Linked DNA regions of Oryzias latipes. The protein of the gene in region 2 purifies or fractionates together with the protein of the main gene of each other region. This does not show direct contact. Links are inferred from orthologs where the notes say so. Each region holds a gene or a part of one and is shown on either strand. Other genes may lie near its edges. The genes, in order: phf5a, sf3b4, prpf8, ddx42, rbm17, ilf2 and eftud2.

Region 1 (3,814 bases), on a different chromosome or scaffold from region 2:
GCTAGGAAAAACCTCTGCGTTCATCCGTTAGCTCTCGGTCTTTTAATGAGACCGGGAAACTGTACACGAGATGTTAAATCTTTTCATGCAAATCGACACTTCGCTGCGGGGAAATTCACACTTAAAAATCACAGTTTTTAGGCTCTTACCTGGAGCCGTGCGACGGTGAGACAGTAAGATGCCATTTTGTTCACTGACAAAGATGTGAGATCGCCGTGACGTCACTGATGTATAAAAGCTTCTTTCTTCTTCTTTGGTTTTTCGTCCAGTGTCGTATTTACTGCTGCCCTCTGGTGGAAAAGCCTGGAAATACAGCTGAATTTTATTTCCTTTCTAAAATGTACATGTTTACATGGAATAAAATATTAAAGAAATTGTGTCAATATGTGACAAAATGTGTCATCAGACTCATAAGAAAAATATTGGTCGTCACATCAGCAGATCTAAAAGAAATAACGCATTGCTTGAATTAAATTTTCCATACATACAGGATATTTGCATCATGTTTTCAATTCAATGGACTAAAAGTTTAGGTTTGTAAAATGGTTGTTAATCATTCATATGTGCTTGATTAAACAAAATAAATATAGAAATATGATGGAAATGTAACATTTTTATAAATTAATGAACAAAGTTAAATAAGCTAGATTTTCTGTTCATCAAAAAAGTTGCGCAATAGTTAGAAAAAATTTTATTTCTTCAGCAAGGGTATGCATTGCACACCAAAGTACATTTTTACTCAAGAAAATTTTAATTTGATGAACTGCAATTAAAGTTCTCAAACAGGTAATTTCCTCCTCAAGCTGACATGTTTATTTATAAAGTAACTCTCTCATAATTTTATATATTGTTCTGGTTTTCAGAAAACATTTTAAAAAATGAATTTAAAACAGAAAATTTCATAAAAAGGTTTTAAAAATTGGAAATGTAGCCTATTTTAAAAGCAAAAAGGGTATTTATTTAAATCTAGTATTTATAAAAAAAATGTAAATAAATATGTTGGTAACATTTTTTATTTTTACATTTTCAAAACTTAAATTAATTACTTTCATTATCTTAAATATTATAACTCGTGTTTATGTTTTATTTTGTAATTTAAAAAATAAAATAGTACATGCTTCTGTCCAGTAGGTGTCAGTATTGGCCATTTAGCTGCTTTTAGCTTCCACCGACACGCAAGAAGAAGAGTCAGCGGAGCGTTGGGTTGTCGTTAGCTAACATGGCTAAACATCACCCAGATCTGATCTTTTGTAGAAAACAAGCGGGAGTTGGTAAGTTTTTACGTAATTATTTGTTTAGTGTCTGAAACCTTAAAGTTCGTCGCAGGTAATTTGACACATTCGTGGTTTACTTTCAAAGGTTTAGCGCTTTGTTAGCATGTATGGCATGGGGTTTCAATGAGACTGTTAGCATGGTCGTGTTAGCCTAGTTTTGTGTTTGGAGTCGACATGTCTAAATACCTAGTTTTTTCTATTTAATTATTTAAAATATTAATCCCAAACTGTGTAAATTACCTTATTAACTGTATCTGTTTTCATCACCAGCTATCGGGAGACTTTGCGAAAAATGTAAGTTTTTTTAATTGTTTAATGCTATCAAACGTTCAAAGAAAGAGTGCATGTAGATATCATTTTATAGGTAATATTTATAAATAACAAAAAAAAAAAAAACATATTATAAAGTGATTCTTTGCGTGCGGCCATCCCTGATTTGTTCTTCTTTTTTTTTCTGCACGGGCCTTTAATGTTTAATGTGAGAATTATTTTCAGAATAAAAGCCCTCTCTAGTCTAGGAAAAAATACTACAATCCAAAACTTTTCCATTTCTAGAATTTAAAACAAGAAGCTTTCAATGTGAATGGAGTCTAAACTCATTTGTACTTAGTACTTTAAGTGGGAACATAAAGCAGAGTGAAGAAAAAGTCCATTGAATTCCACAGAGGTTTTTTTTCCGTTTGTTGGAAACAAAACCGATACAGTTAGGTTTGGAGGTGTGAGGGGCTGTAAAGGTAGCGTGAGTGCACACAAACAGATGGGTGATGGGAAGGGGGGACGGGCATGCTCCACGCTACCAATCTGCCCACAACTCATAGGTGTATTTCTAATAAACTCCTGCCGCTTTGGAGAAACGACACAGCTTTTGGAAACGTTATGAAAATATTTCAATAGAGGATCAGAGTGGGACTTTAAGCACGGTGGAAGTTTATTGTGGTTTGGGCCTGCTTTCTGACTGAAGCATTTGAATTCCTGCCTCGAAAATCAGTACACTTTTTCTAGATAGAAAATCTAGAATGAAGCAGTCTGTAAAACTAAATAGGAAAGGATGCCGTGGAACATATAGATATGACATTAAAGATGTCTTAAATTCCCAGTCTGGAAGTCTGGTCAATAAGATGAGATTCGAAAAACAGAAGTTTGATAAAGTCCTTCATACAGATGCATCAAAGTTATTATGTCAGTCAAATATTGCTTTAAAAAAAAAAAACATCAACCCAGAGTTCTGAACTATTGTAAACAAACTGTGTTGGCCAATTCTTATCTGTTTATCCTCTTCTCTCTATTGTATCTCCTTCCTGTCTGCATATAGAGCAACACAGATGTTCTTGATCAAAAAACACGAACGATCAGCTGTTTTCAAGTCTTGAGTTTAGTTTTAAATTTTAAAGCGCTTCGAGTTTTAAAAAAAAAAAAGTTTAATTTGATGTATCTGTAAAGCTCTTTGCTGTCATTTCATCAAAGAAACTAGCAGCAGAAACTCAGGAAGTGAGATGCAGCGTCTGACCGTCTTCTTTTACAAAAATAACTTGTTTTAAAGTCTGACTTTAACAATGTTTAAAAGACGGCAGAGACCAACCAGACTGTCCCTGATCTGCTCCTTTCAGGCGATGGGAAGTGCGTCATCTGTGATTCGTACGTGAGGCCGTGCACGCTGGTGCGCATTTGTGACGAGTGTAACTACGGGTCCTATCAGGGGCGCTGCGTGATCTGCGGAGGCCCCGGAGTGTCTGATGCGTACTACTGCAAAGAGTGCACCATTCAGGAGAAAGATGTGAGTCTCTGGGCTCCAGGATCGGCCCTTCGCTGAAATGAACCAATGTTTTTACCCTTAATCTTTTTTTTGTGCAGCGGGACGGATGTCCGAAAATCGTGAACCTGGGCAGCTCCAAAACAGACCTGTTCTACGAGAGGAAGAAGTATGGCTTCAAGAAGAGGTGAAGAAGAAACCCCCCCGGCGTCTGTTAGGCTTTCCTTCTCGTTTCCAAACTTCCAAGAAAACTGTTTTGGTTTGTGAATAAAACTCACTTTTGTACTCCAGTCTCTGTGGCCGTTTGACTGAATAATCCAGTTTTAAAGCGTTTTTTTCTTATCGTTTATACATGGAGGCTCTTTTCTCTCATTCAACCTTGTTCCTGTTAGGTTCCAAGGAAGATCCAGGTCGTATAAATGCAGCCTAAACTTTTCTAGATGGAAGAAAAGTTTCGACATTTTCCTAAAGATCTGAGGAGCTTCAGATCTGGAAGTTTTGGTTTGTCTTTTCTCGTCACATTAACCTGAAATGGAGACAACAGGGAAGAAAAAAACTAAACATTTGAGAGTTCAGTTAAAAAATTAGGGATTTGAGTCCAACAAAATCTACATTTTACTGATCAAAAGTGAGGAAATGATGTATTTAAAGACGTATAATTCTGACTTCTCCCGTCTGAAAACAGGACAGCCTGATTCCTGGTTCTTCAGGATACAAATGAATTTATTTAAATCAGAAAAGTAATTGTAGATGAACTGCTTAAAGATTACTTAAAAGTTCAACTATGGAA
Region 2 (4,273 bases):
CGTACAGGTGAACGCAGGACTAAGGCTTTACTGATGCCTGCAGCAGCTGCTCAGGTTTAACAAGAATTAGATGGTAATCTGTCATCATGTTCCTTTTGTCTATTGTAGACTTCATTGTATGTGGTGAGAACACCAGCAGCCGAATGTATGCTCTGTGTCACCGACAGAAGGACCTACAATGCTGCTCTGGTATGGATTGTGTTTGAAATGTAGATGGATCAGGATTCAGTGTTGGTTAGAGGTACAATAAGAAGGTTAGAAAAAGGAGTTTGGAAAGTTTCTGAGCTGCTTTTCCTTTTTTGGTTTGAGATACCACAACTTTACATTGAGAAAATAAAATACAACCTCATAACACTTGTTGAAAAGTAAAAATCTTTATAGTTAGGCACCCTATAAACATGAAGGCAGTTGATCCGGTGGTCTTTTGAAGACGCTTGTGAATGCAGTTTATTGGACTGTCTCTACTTAAAAGATCAGTCTGGATTTAGGCAAATTAAACAGCAGGAGGGCTGGCATTTGTGCAGCACAATAAAAGTTTAGGAATTGGCAACATAAAATAACAGAAAATTATCCAAAAGACTGAGATTAAAGTCTACCATTTGGAATTGTGTTATGTTGATACAACTTTAAGAAAATAGGTAGTATTTGATTGTAAAACCTTTCAAAAACATCTTAATTAAAACTTTTTGGCCTTTACACTTCTTACATAATGGATCTGTAATTTGCTCAGTTACTTGAAACATTTGAAAGATTTCTAATGAGACTTAAAAGGAATGAACAGTTTGACTGAAATAAAAATTTGTTTTTTTCTGCTAAGTCTGTGACTCAAGTTGGATTAGTCAAAAGACTTTTTTCCTTTTTCTTTTCGTTTGATTATTATTATTATTATTTTTAGAAACAATGATTGCAATATCATAAGAGCCATCAAAAAATGATCTGAACATCTTTTTTATTAAGCTTTTGGAGACTTTGACCTATGTGTGTCCTTTTTGTTTCTTACTTTTCTAAATGAGCAGCCATTTTTAGCTCTTAATGTTCATTTTTTTTTAATGTAAAAGTCTCAGCTCTGTACACAAATGCATTTCACTTATGTTATTATTGATCAAGGCTTTTTTAACCCATTTTTATATATGCATTTATAAAATGAAAACATTGGCTTTTTGTGTTTTGAACTTTGTTGCATGACATGCTTTTTTATTTTATTTTGATACAGTATTGTTTTATAAAAATGGTTTTATTATGCCCAAATTGTATTTTGTATGAACAATTTGTATTCCATGTTTATACTTTTAGTAGATTTATATAAAAATGTATATAAATATGTAATAAATTGGTCCGTACAAAGTTTTGAACTTTATCTGGTCTTGTGTTTTTATTGTTCGATGCTATTAAAAAAATAATCTAAAACGAAGCAAAGATATTGTATTTTATTTTTTGAAAGAGGAGTTCATTTTATATTATAACTTCCGGTTTGCTGAACAGGAAGAGGCGGAGCTTCCTACATGAACGCTTCTGGTGCGTTGGTCATTCAACATGGCCGCGGGACCAATTTCTGAAAGAAACCAAGGTAATTTACGGAATTATTACCCATTTCTTTTGACATTTAGCCGTGCATAAATGTATGTAATGTGTAGTAACACCCAACAAGGGCACATTTTTCCTCATAGAGCGAATATGGATCCTAAAATTAGCTAATATTCTTCTGTTGAAACCGGGTAAACACATGGAGTGAAGCGGCTTTAGCCTAGCTTGTAGCTAATAAAGCCATTCTCCCAATTAATCGTTTATCGAATTTGCACTTTAGATGCACGTCCTTTTATATAAGCATTAAGCTGTGAAAAAACGTATACTCATTTCCATTGTTGCAAATCTATAAATAGAAAGAGAAAAAGCAATATTTTATGCCAGGAACTAATACTAAACAACTGCAACTTCTTTCATAATTTAACTTCAGTTCATTGACCTCATTTTATTCTTACCAGGCAGCATGATCATTAAATTTTTCACAGTTTCAACAATGGTTTTAAAAAGAACTAATGAAACTTTAAGTGAACATAAATATGGTCATTTCTTTTTGTAATTCGTATTCATTAACTTGTGTCAGAAAGTGGAAACCTTTGTAGTGTTTTACTCACCAAGCCTGCTCTTGTCTGTCCAGATGCCACGGTGTATGTCGGTGGGTTGGATGAGAAAGTGTCGGAGCCGTTGCTATGGGAACTCTTCCTGCAGGCTGGTCCTGTGGTAAACACGCACATGCCCAAAGACAGGGTCACGGGTCAACATCAGGGTGAGTGCACTTTCAGTTGGTCAACAAGATTGAACAATTATCTTCTTAGAAAATTATCTTTACAAAATTGTTTTTCTTTATTTAGGTTATGGCTTTGTGGAATTCCTCAGCGAAGAGGATGCTGATTATGCTATTAAAATAATGAATATGATCAAGCTCTATGGAAAACCCATTCGAGTCAATAAGGCCTCGGCACACAACAAAAACCTGGATGTGGGTGCGAACATCTTCATCGGTAACCTGGACCCAGAAATCGATGAGAAACTGCTCTACGACACATTCAGTGCCTTCGGTGTGATTCTCCAAACACCAAAGATCATGAGAGACCCAGACACCGGCAACTCCAAGGGTTACGCTTTTATCAACTTTGCCAGTTTTGATGCTTCTGATGCCGCCATCGAGGCCATGAATGGCCAGTACCTCTGTAACCGGCCCATCACTGTGTCGTACGCCTTCAAGAAAGATTCTAAAGGGGAGCGCCACGGCTCCGCCGCAGAGCGACTCCTGGCGGCGCAGAATCCGCTGTCCCAGGCGGACAGGCCCCACCAGCTGTTCGCTGATGCCCCACCACCTCCCTCTCTTCCCACCCCGGTCCTGACCACACTAGGAGCTGGAATGGGTATTCCGGGCATGGGAGGTGGGTGTTACGTCACATTTATGTGAAAATAGTTTTGTTTTTTTAAAGACTCGCTTTTATGAACATTGTCTTTTTGATGTATTTTTGTGGCATTTTTCTGATGATAGAGACAAAGAAAATGTAGCTCAAACTTGCATTTGACTGCAAACTGCAAAAATTAAAAACTGGATTTAAATCTGAAGCAGACAAAAAAAAAGGATTTTTCTGTAGTTTTACATAACTACTGCCATTCCGCAGAAACTATGTTCTAGAAAACAACACAGGATCTTTTGATTTTGGCTAAAAATGGCATCATCACCATCATCATTTTCATAAAAGACCGCTTTGAAAAAAGATCAAAGGATGATCAGTGTGGGACTTGTGTTTTGTGTTAGCCTAAACAAGTGTTTTTACAGATACAAATTAGCAATTAGCTGCAAAAATACAAACAAATGTACCCACAAGTCCTTCAAGTAGATTGTGTTGATTTGTGTGTGCAGGTCTGCCACCTCCTGGTGCCTTTCCCCCTGTTCCTCCCCCCGGATCACTCCCTCCTTCCATGGCCCATGGCATGGGGATGCCTCCATCAGCAGGTGGCCCACAGGGTATTGGCGGTCCAGGTGGACCACCACCCTTCCCGCCTGGAAGTATGCATCCAGGTGAGACATTGTGACTTCTTAAGAGTGGTTTTTGTCTTTCTGTCGGAGGAAATACAGAGGTTTTGAGCCTCAGAGCCGCGTTTACTTTGTTTGGCATCCGCATAAACATCTGAAAGTCAAAGCCTGTTCTCGTTTTAGTATCTAGTTTTTCTTCCCGCCACCTCCAGTTTGATCCGTTTCTGTCACTCAGGTATGCCTCAGATGCCCATGCACCCTCCCGCTCCGCCTGGCATGGTTCCACCTCCTCCTGCTCCACCAGGATCATCCCAACGCGCCCCGCCCCCCAACCTCCCCCCACCCCCGCCTATGGGCATGCCGCCCAGAGCACCATATGGACCCCCCATGGGTGAGTGTTATGACGCCTCTTCATGTCTCTGTCAAATAGAAAAAACACCTGAAAGGAAAAACGGCGTTGAAGGAAGTGTCAGAGTTGGCAGGATTTGGCAGAGACGCTCTGAAAGTGATGTAATGGGGGTTTGGTAAGGAACCAGGTCCGCCAATCATCTCAGTCACTGACTTACATTTATGAAATCACCTGTGCTTGTAGCATCCTAATATTTGAGTTGTTGATAAAGTAAAACTTCAAACAAATACCTACCTTTTCAAACTAAACTTGCTAATGAATTATTGTCAGCTGAATTAAGGATATCCTGATCAGATTCAGAGTCGTTTGGTTTTTAGTTTTGATTTGATCATTTTAGACTTAAACAG
Region 3 (4,102 bases), on a different chromosome or scaffold from region 2:
AACTTATTTTCATTTTTTCACATAGAACATAATTCCATCTAAATGCTTTTTTTTTTTTTTTACCAAAATGACGTAATTTCATTTTTAATAAAATGCTAAAAATTTTGACTGGATAAAAAAAAAAAACTTTACAAAATAAATTTGGGTTCCCAATAAGAATCACCTATTATTCATTTATAAATGCTCGCTTTAAACTTCCAAATTTAAAACATGTGAACAGGAAAAAAGTTTTCTTCTTCCAAAGTACAAACCACTGTTGCTTTGATCAAAGAAATAACAAATGAATCTGTTTCTTTCGTTTGGCCCTCAAGGCTCTTTGTTCAAGTTCAGGTCATTGTCTACTCCCCCCAAAAAAACAGTTTCTGCATCTATGCTTTTGTCAAACGCTAACGAAAAACTTATAAATGACATTCTACAAGTGGCTGCTCTTGCTGTCAACTTTTCTTTTTTATTATTTACAGTTGACATTTTAGAAATGAACTGGAAAGGTTCCGCATCGGCTTGTTCAACAGACAGTGTATCCACAGATTTACAATTTTTAAAAATGGAATTTAGCCAATCACAGTTAAGAAATTGTAACACAGTCTACAGAAGGTGCTGGGGGCTGGATACGGATTTTGTGACCAGAGGCTGCAGCCGGTGGAAATTTGAAAGCAAGGCCCATGGGCCGGACTTTGGACATGCATGTCTTACATCAAGAATAGGCTTTAAAAAAGATAAAGTTGTTAATTAGTTTCTACTGCGAAACACTACGTGGACACACATTCTGGCAGACTTGACCCTCCTGTTAATTATAAAAGTGAAACTGGAAAAAATGTTGGCGGTGTAAAATGACTTGAACACAACATGGGATAGTTGGGGATTAAAAACATCCACAGGTTCCGAATTAACTGCTCTTGCCACTTTATTTTGTGATGTTATTTTGTGCTTTTACATTTGTAAAACTGTCACACAGCAATTAAACAAAATTCATTCAACGGTAAGCAAATCAGTCATAAACAGGAAAGATTTGTGGGAAAATAGCATTAAAAATGATCTTTTTTGTAAGGTGCTTTTGTGCTGACGTTCAAATCAATTGGAAATTAGCAACTCCATAATAACTCGCTCTTTCTTTCATTTGGCGTACAAACTATTAATTGTGTCCCCAATCCTGCGGGGGCGGTAAAGCTCCGGAAACAAAGACATCCGGGTATTCGGCATCCCTACGTTTGCGTAGATTTAGCGTGGAGCAAATGCGACAGCGATGCCATTTTAGCCGCGTGATACGTTTATTTCTGTCGTAAACTCTGCTTCTGAATGCCACAGACCTGCGTTCATCCTCCGTTGTCGTCGAGTCGAACGGCAGCGTGAGTGAGCGGGGAAAAAGAGAAACTCAATCAGAAGAGCCGATATGTTATGGTAGCCGAGAGCGAGAGCGCCGAGGCTATTTGAACGTTGCAACAATACTGCTGTGGTGAAGGTAGGAACATGTTTGCTGTTGTCTTTAACTTACTCTTTGTTACTTAACGCGAGGAGATGCTAACGCTAGCAGCATGCTAGTTTACGGCGCTGTAACGTTTGGCCTAAAACAGTTTACCCGGATTTTTTATATTAGTGTCGCACACTTCATTTGAAATATAACAGCGCTTTTAAAATTGACCATGTCAACATTTAATTGACTATCACAAGTGGATAATGGTGCCTTGATGTTTATTTTGTGCACTTTGTGGGAAGTGTGCCCGTTAGCCGGGAAGCCATGTTGATTTAGCCTAGCATGTTACACAAACGAGAGCCTGCAAACAATAATCCTGCTTCCAAGCAGTTATGTGTTAGTAAATAGTTGAAAGTTTAGTCCCTTTAAAGTCTGTAACCTAACTCTTTTTTTTTTTTTTCAAATTTGATGTATGTAGTTTTGCATCTTACAGTTTTTAAAAAAAACTTTATATTTCACAGTTTGCTACAGTATGGCAGTCAACTTTCCATTCAGAGGGGTCCCTCCTGGGATGCCCCCAGTTGTTCCCCCTGGTGTGCCTCCAATTGTGCCGCCGGGCGTACCCCCAGGTGTCCCCCCTCCTGTGCCAGTTCCGGACTTTATGTCTGAAGAGAAACTACAAGAAAAGGGTGCGTTGTCCGTTGAGTTTGCCTTTCTTTAAGTTTTGTTTTTAACATCTAATACATGTATTTCAAACATTATTCTACTAAAACATTTTTCCATCTTTAGCACGGAAATGGCAACAGCTACAAGCCAAACGCTATGCCGAGAAGAGGAAGTTTGGCTTTGTGGATGCCCAGAAGGAGGACATGCCTCCTGAACATGTTCGCAAGATCATCAGGGATCACGGCGACATGACCAATAGAAAGTTCCGGCATGACAAAAGGGTCTACCTTGGGTAAGATGAAGCATTACTTTCTGCAGATGCAAAGTCATTTGAAGTCATGTTATTTTTCTCTTAAACATTTTTTTTTAACTTTATGGAACCCTCCACTGTTCCTCTGCTTGTCTTTTTGGATACATTAGTATTAGTTTCCTGGTCAAAACTACTGTTATTGCAGACCCTTTACATGCCTTCCATTCTCTTTTCTGTTGTTTAACAGTGCTCTCAAGTATATGCCCCACGCTGTGTTGAAGCTGCTTGAAAACATGCCGATGCCCTGGGAACAGATCCGAGATGTGCCGGTGCTGTACCACATCACTGGAGCCATTTCATTTGTGAATGAAATTCCGTGGGTCATAGAGCCAGTCTACATTGCTCAGTGGGGGTAAGTGAGTAGTATCATCCTAGTTTTGTGGAATGTGTGTAAATTTCATTGTAATTGCAGTCTTGCTATTTATCTGTTGAACAGTTTTCTCCAACTTTATTTTTTTTCCCCCCAGCACCATGTGGATCATGATGCGTCGTGAGAAGCGCGATCGGCGGCACTTCAAAAGAATGCGCTTCCCACCGTTCGACGATGAGGAGCCTCCGCTCGATTATGCTGACAACATTCTTGACGTGGAACCCCTGGAAGCCATCCAGATGGAGCTTGATTCTGAGGAAGATGCCTCAGTTGTTGAGTGGTTATATGAACACCAGCCCCTCAAAGACAACTCCAAGTGAGTGTCCATATATGAGTCCAAGCTTCAGCTCAACCATTCTACATTGCGATCCTACTGTTAACAAATGTACATTTTTAGATATGTGAATGGAACCACCTACCGTCGATGGCAGTTCACATTGCCCATGATGTCAACGCTGTATCGTCTGGCCAATCAGCTTCTGACAGACCTGGTGGATTTCAACTATTTTTACCTGTTTGACCTCAAAGCTTTCTTCACATCCAAGGCTCTAAATATGGCCATTCCAGGGGGACCAAAGTTCGAGCCGCTTGTCAGAGACATCAACCTCCAGTATGTCCCTGCATGTTATGTAACAAAACAGTTAAGACATTTTCTGTTGGGTTTCTTTTTTGTGTCATGTGGATCTCTTCTTTCTTGCTTTGGCAATTAAGAGTCGTAGTTAAACTTTTGTTTTCATACAGGGATGAGGACTGGAATGAGTTCAATGACATCAACAAAATCATCATCAGACAGCCAATAAGGACAGAGTACAAAATTGCATTCCCTTACCTGTACAACAACTTGCCACACCACGTGCATCTCACCTGGTAACGAATAAGCTTTGGTGTTTACAAAATTGCTGTGTTTCTCCAAATTTGTCATTTTGATCATTATGTTTACTCACGTCTTTATTATTGTCTAGGTACCATACCCCAAATGTGGTGTTTATCAAAACGGAGGATCCAGATCTTCCAGCGTTCTACTTTGATCCGCTGATCAACCCCATTTCCCACAGACATTCTGTCAAGGTGTGAATCTCAGATGATCTCATTGTTTTGAGAGTTTTTTATGATTCTCTGATGAGAAGACTTTATTTATTGACCTAATCCTCTTACAAAGGCGCACTTGCATTGGCCTGCTTGCCTGTGCGTAAGAACAGGAGGAAAAGCAAAATGAATGGTGATCATTTTAATTCATGTCTGACTGCAGCTGCAGGGAAAAACCTCACCGTTTAGACAATGTTCACTTTCTCATTGCATACCGGCAGCCCTAAAAACACATCATTTAGGTTATTTATGTCTCCTG
Region 4 (2,908 bases), on a different chromosome or scaffold from region 2:
GATGCTACGATCCTGCAATGTGACAACATCTCACATTTCTTTCTATCTGATTTTAGAAATATAGATGAAATTATGCAGTTTTCCAAAACAGTGTTTGGTAACTCACAGAGCTCTCAGCTCCCAGTCCTGGTCTCTCTTTGTAGCCGAGGCCACCCCCGCCGATGTTCAGCCTCTTCCCTTTACCCCCCTTAAAGCGGGACTTCCTGAACCAGGGATTCTGGACAAAATCCCAAAAAAGGCTGTGTTAAGAACCAGACCTCCAGCATACAGAACCCTCAGTCCTCGGCTTTGATCATCTCACCTGCATGGCTAAATCCATCAGTTCTTTAGATACCGCTTGGTTTGCTCCTTCCAAATTCCGCACAAGATCTCCAGCAAATGATGTGTCTTTGTTGGTTAGCAGGGTATAGGCCACGCCTTTCTCTCCAGCGCGCCCAGTTCGACCTATCCTGTGTGTGTGAGTGTCGATGTCCCGCGCCACGTCATAGTTCACCACCGTGCGAATGGAGGGAATGTCCAGACCGCGAGCTGGGCACACAAAATGAAGGAATGTAACCACAAAACAATTTCAAGCCCCCCTCCCCTTTTTTAAGATCCCCTTCTTAAATGTAGTACAGATTTAAAAGCAATAAAACGGACACAAAGAAATCACAAAAGTCACTCTCCAAACATACCAGCAACATCAGTGGCCACCAGGATGGGCAAGTTCTTCTTTTTGAAGTCGCTGATGACTTTGTTCCTCTCGCTCTGGTCCATGTCTCCATGCAGGAGGCCAAGGCTGTAACCCTCCTGCGTCAGGTTCGCAGCTAGCTCGTCGCTGTTCGCCTTCTTGGTGACAAAAATGAGGACCGAGCCGGCTGAAGTGAACTCGACCAACCGCCGAGTCAGCCAAGCCCATTTGTCTGACCCACTGAGGAGTATTTCCACAACCTGAGTCACGTCTTCGTTGGCCTTGTTGGGGGAGGAGAGGGAAGTACAAAAAAAGCTTTTTTTGTGTTTATTTCAGACAATCTGCATTTGCTCCAAAATATATTTTTACTTTTTTTTTTTTATTTAAGTCATCAACTTAACATGAACACTTTTAGACAAGCAGCAAATTGTCTGTGTGTCTAAACATAAAATATGGTTAAACGTAAAATATTTGTGGAAAAACGTGGCTACCTCTCCGATGTCTCCCTGTACCACACGAATAGGATCCACTAAAATGTCCCTCGCCAATCTCTCAATCTTCTTTCGAAATGTAGCGCTGAACAGAAGGGCTGCGAGGGAAGTTCGGTCTATTAAATAATGCAATTTATATCAAAAATGTATAAAAAAAAGGGAAATCACATACTCTGCCTGTCGGGACGAACGTGACTTGCAATGGATCTGACCTGATATTCTAAAAGGCAAATCCAAAATTTATGTTACTCATTTAAATGAAAACACTCAAATTGTAAACAGAATTTTCGTTAAAACATTGAAAATGTCAGCCCACCAAAGCCCATATCAAACATCCGGTCAGCTTCATCAAACACCAGGTATGTCACTCTCTGAAGGGACGTTGCTTTCTTTTTCACATGGTCGATCAGACGTCCCTGTAGAAATGCACATGAGAGAAAACCCGTCGTTTCCGCAAGAACTGAGAGGTTTTTACACAAATCCGGAACAAGTTACTTACTGGAGTGCACACGACAATCTCTGCTCCCTCCTGAAGGGCCTTAGCCTGCTCCCACATGCTGCCTCCTCCATAAACAGCCACGGAACGCAACGAGTAAGCTTTTCCAAAACGCTTACATTCGGCATGGATCTAGGAAACGCAGTTGGATAATCAATGAGTCCGCCACCTTCAGAGGAAATCTTTTAAAATCGTCTGATCTGATCGCTTACCTGCTGACAAAGCTCTCTCGTGGGGCAAACAATGACTGCGATGGGTCCCTCTCCAGGTTCCAGTTCCTTCTGATCCATGATGTGGACCAGCATGGGCCAGATAAACGCTGCCGTTTTACCGCTGCCGGTTTTGGCAATCCCAATCATGTCCCGTCCGGACAGAGCAATCGGCACACCCTGGAACCAGATCAGAGCCAGGAGTCCGCATGCAGCTATTCTAGAAGACATTTTCAGCTGCACGTCTTTTGTAAAGTTGCACAGTACCTGACACTGAATCGGTGTGGGTTGAGTGTACTCAGACTTTCGAATTTGGTGCATCAACTGCTCATCAAAACCAAAGTGGGCAAAGCTGGTACATAACTTTGGTGGAGCAGCGCCAGATACCTTATTTAGAAAAGGAAAGAGCAAACATGGAGAAAAGACAAAAACCCACCATGTTGGCGCAAACATATAAGGATCATCATTTAAGATTTTACAAACAAGAGGTTTATTTCAGGTTTTAAAGTGACTGATGTACTTACTCGCAGGTTAAGTTTCTGCCTTAATTCAACCACTTGACTTCCAGTGAGGCTACTGAGCTCCTCGTGCTCATTGTAAAAGTTTTTCTCAAATGGAGGGTAATCTATCTGCAAAGAAAGAAAAAGCAGCAAAATCAGAAAACAAAAATCCGGTAGACAACGCACATGGACAACATGAAGCTGTACCTCTGAGTGGTCGATAGGAGGAAGCGGCAGGATGATTTTTTTAGTAGTGGAGGGAATTGGGTTTCCATCACTGTCATAGTCGATATTTTCCTCTTCTTCTTCTTGGGTTAGCCCTGCTGTGGGATTCTCTGCCATGTAGCGGAAGTAGGCTTCCTGCAGAGAGTTCACACAGCCATGTGAAAAGGTGAGTTTGCAGCGACATTCTAAAGGCTCCCCAAATTCTTTTATTAGTATATAAAAACATCACTGTTTAACTGGTAAATATTCAAGTCGGAAGCAGTCATTTAGCTTACAAACAGTCTACATTTTAGTGGGGAAAAAAACATTGAAAAATG
Region 5 (4,204 bases), on a different chromosome or scaffold from region 2:
CATTCTGAGAAAGAACAGGGATGGTCCGTCCTCGGGAGCTTTCCGTGAAACCCAACCATGTGCGGAACACTCTGCACGAGCGCCATACGGCGAAGGTTGAGTTTAGAACCAGACCGTACCGGTCTGCATCGGAGTCCATCAGCACCTGTAGAGCCCGACCAGGTCTCTGCCAAAGGCCACTTCAATGTCACCAAGAGGCATGCAGCAGCTTTTCAAAACCAGGACTCGTTACCCAACCCGCCTCACTGATCTGATTTAAACCCACTCCAGGGGCATCTCTTCATGACGTCGGGCCCCTGGGGGCCCCCTGGCTCACTTACATAAGTCCTGAATGAGGCTGAGGCTCCGTTCACTGTCCTAGTCCCCTCCATAATGAAGCAGGGCTATGTTAGGACCGCCAAAACCCCCCAGAGAGGCAGAACCCAAACACAGGAGCCCTGTGCATTTCAGGCAAGAATCAGACGGCAGAAGTAGGCTTCTTGGAAAGTGGAAACGGCACATAAACGGCTTTAAAGCTTTTATTTTGACATATTTGTCAAATGACAGGGAAAAAAACAACAACTACATTTTACAGTTCTGACCACAGAGACGCTGTTCAGGAAATATAAAAAAAAACAAAAACAAATTTATGTACAAGTCGATGAACGAGGAGGAGGAGGATGATGATGGTTGACGCCGGCGCCGATCGCAGGACCACGTCAGACCTGTTCTCCCAGATCCAAAACCCGGAACTTGTCCAGGTTGTAGAAGCAGGCTTTGACGACCCTCCCGCCAAAATAACGGCCGTTCAGATCCACCACGGCTGCAGGAAGGACAGGATGCAGGCAGATTGATATCAACGTGAAAGCAAATGGCATGGAAAAAAACACACTGATTAAAATGACTTAAAATGAAAAGAAAGAAAAAGAAGTTGGATTTGATGCTCCAAACCCAAACATGAGCTCAGGAATAGGCTGCAGAGTGAAGCAGAGATGGTTGGTGTGCAGCAGTGCTTCCTAGAACCTGCTTTTAATTAGAAAAACCAACAATAAAGGCACGTTTCAGCTGAAACTAACCATGGACGAACTCAATTCTTTGAAAGGATGTGATTCTTTCTGCTACACTTTCTGTTTACGGTCATGAGGACATTTAAAATCATTCGTTCCACTTCCAAAGAACGCTGTTTTTGCTTTGTCATCCTGAGGAGGGAATGTGACGACACACGCCTCTCTCTCCCGTGGATCATCTGAGCTCCAGGCTGCCTGACATCACGCAGATTCCTTTCTCTGATAATGTTGGGCTGGTTTAGCTTCAGGGTTGGAAAAACCACCCTTTTCTCAGAGACCTTTTCAGCCGTCTGGATGAAGCTCATCTGCTGATCTAGTCAATCATGTAGTTGTAGAGTCAGATAAGTTCATTCTCTCTAAGAGTTCTGGTAAATCGCCTGTCCGTCCTGGGGGAGGATCCCTCCTTCATGTGGACCCCCCCGAGGGTTCTTCTGTTTTGCCCTGGAATCGTCTAAGTTTAGTCTGTTTGGTTTAGTTTAGTTTGTTTTGTTAATTTTAGTCAGTTTAGTTTAGTTTGTTTAGTTTAGTCTGTTTATTCTAGTCAGTTTAGTTTAGTTTGTTTGGTTTAGTTTAGTTTGTTTTGTTAATTTTAGTCAGTTTAGTTTGTTTAGTTTAGTCTGTTTATTCTAGTCAGTTTAGTTTAGATTGTTTGGTTTAGTTTGTTTTGTTTAGTTTGTTTTGTTAATTTTAGTCAGTTTAGTTGAGTTTGTTTAGTTTAGTTTGTTTAGTTTAGTTTGTTTTGTTAATTTTAGTCAGTTTAGTTTAGTTTAGTTTGTTTAGTTTGTTTAGTTTAGTTTGTTTAGTTTAGTCTGTTTATTCTAGTCAGTTTAGTTTAGTTTGTTTGGTTTAGTTTAGTTTGTTTTGTTAATTTTAGTCAGTTTAGTTTAGTTTGTTTAGTTTAGTCTGTTTATTCTAGTCAGTTTAGTTTAGTTTGTTTGGTTTAGTTTAGTTTGTTTTGTTAATTTTAGTCAGTTTAGTTTGTTTAGTTTAGTCTGTTTATTCTAGTCAGTTTAGTTTAGATTGTTTGGTTTAGTTTGTTTTGTTTAGTTTGTTTTGTTAATTTTAGTCAGTTTAGTTGAGTTTGTTTAGTTTAGTTTGTTTAGTTTAGTTTGTTTTGTTAATTTTAGTCAGTTTAGTTTAGTTTAGTTTGTTTAGTTTGTTTAGTTTAGTTTGTTTAGTTTAGTCTGTTTATTCTAGTCAGTTTAGTTTAGTTTGTTTGGTTTAGTTTGTTTAGTTTAGTTTGTTTTGTTAATTTTAGTCAGTTTACTTTAGTTTGTTTAGTTTAGTTTGTTTTGTTTAGTCTGTTTATTCTAGTCAGTTTAGTTTAGTTTGTTTAGTTTAGTTTGTTTAGTTTAGTTTGTTTTGTTAATTTTAGTCAGTTTAGTTTAGTTTGTTTAGTTTAGTTTGTTTAGTTTAGTTTGTTTAGTTTAGTTTGTTTTGTTAATTTTAGTCAGTTTAGTTTAGTTTGTTTAGTTTAGTTTGTTTAGTTTAGTTTAGTCTGTTTATTTTAGTCTGTTTAGTTGAGTTTGTTTAGTTTAGTTTGTTTAGTTTAGTCTGTTTATTTTAGTCAGTTTAGTTTAGTTTGTTTAGTTTAGTTTGTATAGTTTAGTTTGTTTTGTTAATTTTAGTCAGTTTAGTTTAGTTTGTTTAGTTTGTTTAGTTTAGTCTGTTTATTCTAGTCAGTTTAGTTTAGTTTGTTTAGTTTAGTTTGTTTTGTTTATTCTAGTCAGTTTAGTTTAGTTTGTTTAGTTTAGTTTGTTTAGTTTAGTTTGTTTTGTTAATTTTAGTCAGTTTAGTTTAGTTTGTTTAGTTTAGTTTAGTTTGTTTAGTTTAGTTTGTTTAGTTTAGTTTGTTTTGTTTAGTCTGTTTATTTTAGTCTGTTTAGTTTAGTTTGTTTAGTTTAGTTTAGTCTGTTTATTTTAGTCTGTTTATTTTAGTCTGTTTAGTTTAGTTTGTTTAGTTTAGTCTGTTTATTTTAGTCTGTTTAGTTTAGTTTGTTTAGTTTAGTCTGTTTATTTTAGTCTGTATAGTTTAGTCTGTTCAGTTTAGTCTGTTTAGTTTAGTCTGTTTAGTTTAGTTTAGTCTGTTTAGTTTAGTCTGTTTAGTTTAGTTTAGTCTGTTTATTTTAGTCAGTTTAGTTTAGTTTGTTTTGTTTTGTTTAGTCAGTTTAGTTTAGTTTAGTTTAGTTTAGTTTGTTTCTATAGGGGAACCTTTAGAATTGGTACTTCATTGGTACGTCATTCATCTCTGCAGGAAACTACTGTTCCATTTGAGCACAAAGATCTGTGGCTGTTAGTCTGTTTATTCTAGTCAGTTTAGTTTAGTTGGTTTAGTTTAGTTTGTTTTGTTTAGTTTGTTTTGTTTAGTTTGTTTTGTTTAGTCTGTTTATTTTAGTCTGTTTAGTTTAGTTTGTTTAGTTTAGTCTGTTTAGTTTAGTCTGTTTATTTTAGTCTGTTTAGTTTAGTTTGTTTAGTTTAGTCTGTTTATTTTAGTCTGTTTAGTTTAGTTTGTTTAGTTTAGTCTGTTTAGTTTAGTCTGTTTAGTTTATTTTAGTCTGTTTAGTTTAGTTTGTTTAGTTTAGTCTGTTTATTTTAGTCTGTTTAGTTTAGTCTGTTTATTTTAGTTTAGTCTGTTTATTTTAGTCTGTTTATTTTAGTTTAGTCTGTTTATTTTAGTCTGTTTAGTTTAGTCTGTTTAGTTTAGTCTGTTTATTTTAGTCAGTTTAGTTTAGTTTGTTTAGTTTAGTTCGTTTTGTTTTGTTTAGTCTGTTTAGTTTAGTTTAGTTTAGTTTAGTTTAGTTTAGTTTAGTTTAGTTTAGTTTAGTTTAGTTTGTTTCTATAGGGGAACCTTTAGAATTGGTACTTCATTGGTACGTCATTCATCTCTGCAGGAAACTACTGTTCCATTTGAGCACAAAGATCTGTGGCTGTTAGAATGAACCAGCTGCTCTCTGAGCAGAGCAGCTGGAGTCTCGTAGCTGCAGGCGGGGACGGTTCTTTGTTTCAGTGTTCGGACCGGAGAAGCGTTCTGACCGCAGTCCGTACGGCTGCAAAGGCACTTGATCGTAAAAATACTAGAAGCGTGTTTAGAAGATGATCTCACTCCGTGTCGGAGCTCTGCTTGTTTACAACAGACTGCATAATATTTTCTTCTATGGT
Region 6 (2,638 bases), about 14 Mb from region 2:
ACCGTTCCACCCAACCTGCGCAAACTGGATCCAGAGTTACATCGTAAGAGAGCGCACACCCGCACAGCACTTTTATAGGAATGAGGCAGGCTTGTGAAATAATTGATCAATGTTGTTTGAAGAATGTGGTCTGAGCAATCATCTACTTCTTGTTGACTTTAAAGTTTGACAAATGATTCTTTGTTGATGAAAATCTATTGTTTTAATTCTTTAAATTTTTGATTTCTTCGGCTCTTATAGTGAACCAATTATTTAGCAGATTGGTGTTTCTGTCTGAGTGAAAAGTTCATAACTTATAGTGTTGATATTTTACAATAAATCGGTGTAGACTTACAGTTTGGACCTCTCCCAACATCTGTCAAATAAACATCTGTGGGTTCAGAAACTTGAGTGGAGCTGTCAATGTATCCATAATTCTGGTGGAGGTTTGATGTTCTGGAGGCTCTACACATTCACTTTACCACCACAAAAATGCTCGTTTTTTTTCTTTCTAGTGGACATCCGAGTGCTGCAGAGTGCTCTGGCTGCCATCCGCCACGCCCGCTGGTTTGAGGAGAACGCTTCTCAGTCGACGTGAGCGCCCCGCTCGTCTCTCTTTGTGTTTCTTGACGTGTGATGAGTATCTGTGAACTGTTGCACGTTGATGATCTTCAGGGTCAAAGTTCTGATTCGCCTCCTGAAAGATCTCCGACTGCGCTTCCCTGGATTTGAACCCCTCACCCCCTGGATTATTGACCTGCTGGTAAATCACACTGAAAAATACACAAGCACAAGAATCACGTGTTAAGAGGATGCAGGAACTGACATTTAGTTTTTCCATAACGCATTTTTTTTTTCAATTAAGCATAAACAATATTGCACATTTGTTGTGTGTGTGTACAAACATTTTGAAACCATTTCTTTAGTGAAACTGTAGTAAGCCCTGCTAATCTCAGTCTATGGTTCGTTGAAGGGCCACTCCGCAGTGATGAACAATCCTTCCAGGCAGCCTTTGTCCCTGAACGTGGCCTACAGGTTGGTGTTATCTCTTGACGGCTGTGATTTCTTTAAAATGAGCGACGACACAAGTCACCCTTTCCTTTTCTGCCTCCCTAAAGGCGCTGCCTGCAGATGCTGGCTGCCGGGCTTTTCCTGCCTGGCTCTGTGGGCATCACAGATCCTTGTGAAAGTGGGAACTTTAGAGTTCACACAGTGATGACTTTGGAGCAGCAGGTAAACCCGGTTGGCTTTACTGCTTCATTGTGAGCATGAAGAGGTGTCTTTGTTGTAGTTTTGTTCTGTTTTGCTATAGTTAATGTGGAAAAATGTGGAAAATACGCAGTCAAGATAAAAGGAAAGCCAACAAAATGTCTGTCGCGTGGATTGATCCAATATTTCTCTTTTTTTGTGTTTGCAGGACATGGTTTGTTTCACAGCTCAGACACTGGTCAGGGTGCTCTCCCATGGAGGATACAGGAAGATTCTTGGCCTTGACGGAGACGCCAGCTGTAAGATTTTTTTTTATCTTTGAGGGATTAATGAAAAAAGTCTTGTACTTTAATTCAAGGTGTCCCTAAATTAGTTACTTTCAAACATGACTCTGTCGCCAGTTCCAATGGATTTGGCACAGGGGCCACAAATGACGAGCTAAAGCTCCAGCTAAGCCTGATTGAATGTTCCTCCCCACTAGCTGCAGCATCTGACACCTTGGCTTCAAAACAAAGGACCATTAGCCTATCAGGGAACACCACCACAGTAACCCCACCTCCTCTTCTATCATCCTCATGTTATTTACAAAAGTCCAGGGCAGCAGATTGCTAAAAAATTGACCGTTGCAGCATTTTATGGAAGCGTTTTTTGTCTCATAATTAGAAATAAGTCAATACCCGAAATGCTTTTTCATTTTCACAATGAAGCTGCCTTTGTTGACTCGAAAGAAAAAATAAATCCGCCTATAGGCTTTTACTTTTTCTTTTTCAACACTGCTCATTCTGTAAGGAAGCAAACAAGGAAGTAAATAAATCATTAAAGTAAAAGTATTTTCAGTTTACTGGAATAAGTTCTGAAAAACAGATTTTGTTTTGAATAAAGCCAAGAATTTGAATAGAAAAGCATAATGAATATGACATTGCAAAGATGCCATGATCAATTATGTGGCATCATATGACTGTCTGCTAGCATGGCGGAGAATCATCACACGTCCACAAAAGAGCCCTAATTTTGTTGCACTCTCTAGGGCAGTGTTTTTCAACCAGTGTGCCGCGGCACACTAGTGTGCTGTTGGAGATGGTCAGGTGTGCCGTGGGAAACTGCCCTCATTAACTGATCCAAAATCATTTACCATCTCCAGGATATCAGCTCTGTGTTCATCCAAAAAGGTCCTGATAAAACACTGAGTAGTTAGGAATATGAAAGATCGTAAAATTACTTTTTCTTTGTGTTTATTTAATTCTATTAAAGACATTTTGATAAGAATGACGGTACCGCGATTTACCTGCTATAACAGTTTACGGAAAAGTCCCGCCCCTTTAACTGTCTCCGCCAATCATTCTTGAAGGCTTAATCACATGTCATCCGTCTGACCAATCAGAAGTGGTTAAAGTCTTCACTTCCTTGTCCCGATGTAGCTCATAAAGTCGCTCAGTTCTAACAAAAATAC
Region 7 (3,500 bases), on a different chromosome or scaffold from region 2:
GAAATCCGCAACCTGAGTGTTGCGTAAGAAATGGTAACGTCTGACACCTTTACAGGTACCAAATTGAGGTGAATCGAGTGCCAGCAGGAAACTGGGTGCTTATCGAAGGCTGTGACCAGCCGATCGTGAAGACGGCCACAATCACAGAACCCAGAGGGAACGAAGAGGTGAGAGGTCAACAGAAAATATCACTGTGGGTCTTCAAAGGTTTCAGCCATATCAAGTTTTTGCTGATTTACCTCCCTCTGCCAGGCTCAAATCTTCAGGCCATTAAAGTTCAACACAGCATCGGTTATCAAGATCGCAGTGGAGCCGGTGAACCCGTCAGAGCTGCCGAAAATGTTGGACGGCCTGAGGAAGGTCAACAAGAGCTACCCTTCCCTGACCACAAAGGTGAGTCTGACATGTTTTTGGTTCATTCGCTGCTGAACAGCTAAAACACCACCTGGTTGTGTTCCAGGTGGAAGAGTCTGGAGAGCATGTTATCCTAGGAACTGGAGAGCTGTACCTGGACTGTGTGATGCACGACCTGAGGAAGATGTACTCTGAGATCGACATTAAAGTAAGGAAATTAACACCTGCTTTAAACTTTGTTAACTCTTTAAAGACCTACTCTGATGAAAACTGTGTTTTTAACACGTTCTTGTGGCATTTTTCTGACGATGAAGGACATATGTAAAGCAAATGAAGCTCAAAATTCAATTTTTGGGTATTTTCTTCAAATCGTTAATCAGGAAGATACGAAAAAATGCTGTTTGAAAAAGATGGTAATCACTGGGCAAAATTCACTGGGCAAAATTCACTGGGCGGGCCACAAGCTCTGCTCCATTCTGATGCATCCACTTGCCAAATAGATTCATTTAGGTCTTCATTTTCCGGGTTGGCATAAGGCTTAAAACTGTACGGCTGGATAGTTCCAATTTTGTCAACTACTGCCGCTCTGCAGAAACTATGTTCCAGAAAACGACAGGTTTTTTTATTTGGGCTAAAAACGTCACAATCATGATTAAAAAACCACTGCAAATGCTTTTAAAAAAAGATAAAAAAAAGATGAGCGGATTTGGACTCTAACACTAGAGATGTCACTTAAACAACACACACTCGTTGACATACCAGAACTTGCCAATCTACGAGTGTCAACTGATTCCGGTGCGTAGAAAAGCGGCGTTTCCCATCGCCTTTGTGGAGTTGTAACGTAAAGTGTTGCATATTGATGCAAGGCTGCTTATCTTCGCTTCAGAATTCTCTAAATTTCCGTTAATTGCGGTCGAAGAGTTACAGTGGTCTAAGGAATGTCAGTACTGGAGTTAAAGCTCGGATGTGAAAGGCTTAAGAACTCCAGAAGTAAACTAGCTGGAAAAAGTCTGAAGGATGTAATGCTGTTGTGTTAATGTTGTGGAACAACTTGTACATCTGCTGTGTTTGCTCACAGGTTGCAGACCCGGTCGTCACGTTCTGTGAAACCGTTGTGGAGACATCGTCTCTGAAGTGCTTTGCCGAGACGCCAAACAAAAAGTATGGCTCAACATGACATGTTTATATTCAGCTCTGTTCCGGGCTCGTTTGAAGCGTTCATTTGTGTGTTGGAGCGCTTAGTCTGGACTCCTCTCGCTGTCCGAAGTCTTCGTCTCTCTGTCCTTCCCCCTGGCTCCGAGCCTCTGCAGGCTGAGTGACATCTGTGTGATGTGATTGACAGGAACAAGATCACCATGATTGCAGAGCCCTTGGAGAAGGGACTCGCGGAGGACATCGAGAACGAAGTGGTGCAGATCACGTGGAACAGGTAGGAATGTGAAGACGCCTCCATCAGTCACTTCTTAATTAAACACAAGCCACATAATGTGCCTTTATGGTAAATTTGCCTGTTACTTTGATGTCAGCACATTCATTTATCCATCATTTCCCTTTTGCTGGGTTAAATAAGATTTGTCTCTTTAATTAAATTTAGTCATGGAAGAAGGTAGAGTTAAAAGGCTTTTTCAATGGACTAATTATTGGATGTGGACATTGCTCTCAGATCTGTAGGTCTGTACTTTCTGATGAGTCTCATTTGGAAATGGCACATGGAGGTGACAGCCATATTTTTATTCATTAAATCAATTATCAAAGTAATCATGAGTTTCTAAATTAATTTCTGCAGAAGTGCAGGAAAGGGAAAGCCCTCCAACGTGTCATGAAAAATCTGTCCTTATGAAAACTCACCTTGGCATATTGATCAGCCCCTCCCCTCGGTAATTGAATTATGCACTAAGAGCCTGCATGAATTTCCCATCCCTCTTGCATGCTTGGATGCTGCAGACAGGCTTCCTGTCTGAGAGGCCATCTGGACCCAGCAGGACCAACCTGCAGCAGCAGGGCTACAGGAGCGACACACTTCACACACCACCCCTTCTCTCCCATTAACCCCTCTGCCCCTCCATTCAGCCAATCTCCTTAATGTTCCAGCTTGCACACTGTGCACGTCTCCTCCCAACGAGCGTTTGTACTGTTTCTTCGCCACAGGAAAAAGCTGGGGGAGTTTTTCCAGACAAAGTACGACTGGGATCTGCTGGCTGCAAGGTCCATCTGGGCCTTTGGACCGGACACAACAGGACCCAACATTCTCGTGGACGACACGCTGCCGTCAGAGGTACGACGCCCGCTGGCTGCTGGTTTGAACTGCAGGTTCTATCTGATCCAAGAGCAGCAACAAATGTCTTTTTTTTTATCTGAGCAAATCTGTTTTTAACCCTTAATCAGTGGTGTGCAGCCTTTTCCAGGCCATGGCACAGTTTTGCCGTCTCATATAATATTTTCACGTATCGGTCTTTTAAAGCTCCAGTTTTCTTAACCTTTGAGGGTGAAAATCTATCTACAGCTGATTTAAAAATTAAATTAGATTTAAAATGTGATGCTGTAGCCTTCAACCTCATCCGGCTTTTAAGGTGCAAGGGATAAATGCAAGAATAAAAGAAAAAACGGTCACTACAACTGGCAATTTTTTCTTAATATATACGTAAATGTGAATCCACCGTATTAGCAATTTTATTAGCATCTTTCTAACATTAGAAGACAGCCGTTTGGAGAATATTATGCAGGAAAGACAACTGGTTTTTGTCTGGTAAAGGCAGCTTGCTTTTATTTTGAAGTCATCTCCTTTCTGCCAAAAGAAACTTTCCAAATACGTTTTTTATTTTTTGACTTTGCTAGCTGGGGGGTTTCTATTTAGCGGTGGGGGCAGCGGCTTTAATAAAGTACTGCTACTTGACATGTGCCTAGAATCTGTTGGATGTGGTGGGGAGAGTCCAGCAGTTTTCAGTAAAACTTCCCTCAGAATAAAATTATAAATAAAACAGAAAATATGTAGGTTGGGTGTTTTTTTTTTTTTTTTCTTTCTTTCCAGTCTGATACCAGCTGTCCCACGAAACAGGAACGGTCCCCTGGCCTGGGGGCCGTTGCTCTAAACCATAAATTCATGTGAAGGTTTCCGATTTAAATCTACTTTAAAGAACAAATGAGAA

Evidence for each region.
Region 1: the proteins of sf3b4 (region 2) and phf5a purify together in Homo sapiens (affinity purification with mass spectrometry; 6 studies listed by BioGRID and IntAct, with this or other methods). This does not show direct contact. The link is inferred for Oryzias latipes from reciprocal best matches to the Homo sapiens genes SF3B4 and PHF5A.
Region 3: the proteins of sf3b4 (region 2) and prpf8 purify together in Homo sapiens (affinity purification with mass spectrometry; 4 studies listed by BioGRID and IntAct, with this or other methods). This does not show direct contact. The link is inferred for Oryzias latipes from reciprocal best matches to the Homo sapiens genes SF3B4 and PRPF8.
Region 4: the proteins of sf3b4 (region 2) and ddx42 purify together in Homo sapiens (affinity purification with mass spectrometry; 3 studies listed by BioGRID and IntAct, with this or other methods). This does not show direct contact. The link is inferred for Oryzias latipes from reciprocal best matches to the Homo sapiens genes SF3B4 and DDX42.
Region 5: the proteins of sf3b4 (region 2) and rbm17 purify together in Homo sapiens (affinity purification with mass spectrometry; 4 studies listed by BioGRID and IntAct, with this or other methods). This does not show direct contact. The link is inferred for Oryzias latipes from reciprocal best matches to the Homo sapiens genes SF3B4 and RBM17.
Region 6: the proteins of sf3b4 (region 2) and ilf2 fractionate together in Homo sapiens (co-fractionation; 3 studies listed by BioGRID, with this or other methods). This does not show direct contact. The link is inferred for Oryzias latipes from reciprocal best matches to the Homo sapiens genes SF3B4 and ILF2.
Region 7: the proteins of sf3b4 (region 2) and eftud2 purify together in Homo sapiens (affinity purification with mass spectrometry; 3 studies listed by BioGRID and IntAct, with this or other methods). This does not show direct contact. The link is inferred for Oryzias latipes from reciprocal best matches to the Homo sapiens genes SF3B4 and EFTUD2.

The regions. Positions count from the first base shown.
Region 1 is NC_019877.2:2,094,200-2,098,013, reverse strand, and holds phf5a (PHD finger-like domain-containing protein 5A), read left to right. Parts: upstream 1-1,147; 5' UTR 1,148-1,219; coding exon 1,220-1,271; intron 1,272-1,544; coding exon 1,545-1,568; intron 1,569-2,881; coding exon 2,882-3,048; intron 3,049-3,125; coding exon 3,126-3,215; 3' UTR 3,216-3,314; downstream 3,315-3,814. Other genes in the region: aco2 (aconitate hydratase, mitochondrial), read right to left, coding at 150-185.
Region 2 is NC_019869.2:7,215,903-7,220,175, forward strand, and holds the start of sf3b4 (splicing factor 3B subunit 4), read left to right. Parts: upstream 1-1,473; 5' UTR 1,474-1,533; coding exon 1,534-1,567; intron 1,568-2,158; coding exon 2,159-2,287; intron 2,288-2,372; coding exon 2,373-2,924; intron 2,925-3,403; coding exon 3,404-3,562; intron 3,563-3,752; coding exon 3,753-3,908; intron 3,909-4,273. UniProt on the Homo sapiens protein: Component of the 17S U2 SnRNP complex of the spliceosome, a large ribonucleoprotein complex that removes introns from transcribed pre-mRNAs.
Region 3 is NC_019871.2:16,913,121-16,917,222, forward strand, and holds the start of prpf8 (pre-mRNA-processing-splicing factor 8), read left to right. Parts: upstream 1-1,302; 5' UTR 1,303-1,459; intron 1,460-1,932; 5' UTR 1,933-1,943; coding exon 1,944-2,100; intron 2,101-2,200; coding exon 2,201-2,369; intron 2,370-2,574; coding exon 2,575-2,739; intron 2,740-2,854; coding exon 2,855-3,073; intron 3,074-3,154; coding exon 3,155-3,367; intron 3,368-3,498; coding exon 3,499-3,624; intron 3,625-3,719; coding exon 3,720-3,825; intron 3,826-4,102. UniProt on the Homo sapiens protein: Plays a role in pre-mRNA splicing as core component of precatalytic, catalytic and postcatalytic spliceosomal complexes, both of the predominant U2-type spliceosome and the minor U12-type spliceosome.
Region 4 is NC_019866.2:4,156,423-4,159,330, forward strand, and holds part of ddx42 (ATP-dependent RNA helicase DDX42), read right to left. Parts: intron 2,727-2,908; coding exon 2,574-2,726; intron 2,496-2,573; coding exon 2,391-2,495; intron 2,254-2,390; coding exon 2,134-2,253; intron 2,047-2,133; coding exon 1,870-2,046; intron 1,790-1,869; coding exon 1,661-1,789; intron 1,578-1,660; coding exon 1,478-1,577; intron 1,382-1,477; coding exon 1,334-1,381; intron 1,260-1,333; coding exon 1,162-1,259; intron 952-1,161; coding exon 675-951; intron 529-674; coding exon 302-528; intron 218-301; coding exon 107-217; intron 13-106; coding exon 1-12. UniProt on the Homo sapiens protein: ATP-dependent RNA helicase that binds to partially double-stranded RNAs (dsRNAs) in order to unwind RNA secondary structures. Unwinding is promoted in the presence of single-strand binding proteins.
Region 5 is NC_019881.2:3,098,602-3,102,805, reverse strand, and holds the end of rbm17 (splicing factor 45), read right to left. Parts: intron 803-4,204; coding exon 699-802; 3' UTR 501-698; downstream 1-500. UniProt on the Homo sapiens protein: Splice factor that binds to the single-stranded 3'AG at the exon/intron border and promotes its utilization in the second catalytic step. Involved in the regulation of alternative splicing and the utilization of cryptic splice sites.
Region 6 is NC_019869.2:21,694,652-21,697,289, reverse strand, and holds part of ilf2 (interleukin enhancer-binding factor 2), read left to right. Parts: coding exon 1-43; intron 44-494; coding exon 495-573; intron 574-654; coding exon 655-742; intron 743-952; coding exon 953-1,014; intron 1,015-1,097; coding exon 1,098-1,212; intron 1,213-1,396; coding exon 1,397-1,487; intron 1,488-2,638. UniProt on the Homo sapiens protein: Chromatin-interacting protein that forms a stable heterodimer with interleukin enhancer-binding factor 3/ILF3 and plays a role in several biological processes including transcription, innate immunity or cell growth.
Region 7 is NC_019866.2:5,482,054-5,485,553, reverse strand, and holds part of eftud2 (116 kDa U5 small nuclear ribonucleoprotein component), read left to right. Parts: intron 1-55; coding exon 56-167; intron 168-252; coding exon 253-393; intron 394-460; coding exon 461-562; intron 563-1,432; coding exon 1,433-1,515; intron 1,516-1,696; coding exon 1,697-1,783; intron 1,784-2,502; coding exon 2,503-2,629; intron 2,630-3,500. UniProt on the Homo sapiens protein: Required for pre-mRNA splicing as component of the spliceosome, including pre-catalytic, catalytic and post-catalytic spliceosomal complexes. Component of the U5 snRNP and the U4/U6-U5 tri-snRNP complex, a building block of the spliceosome.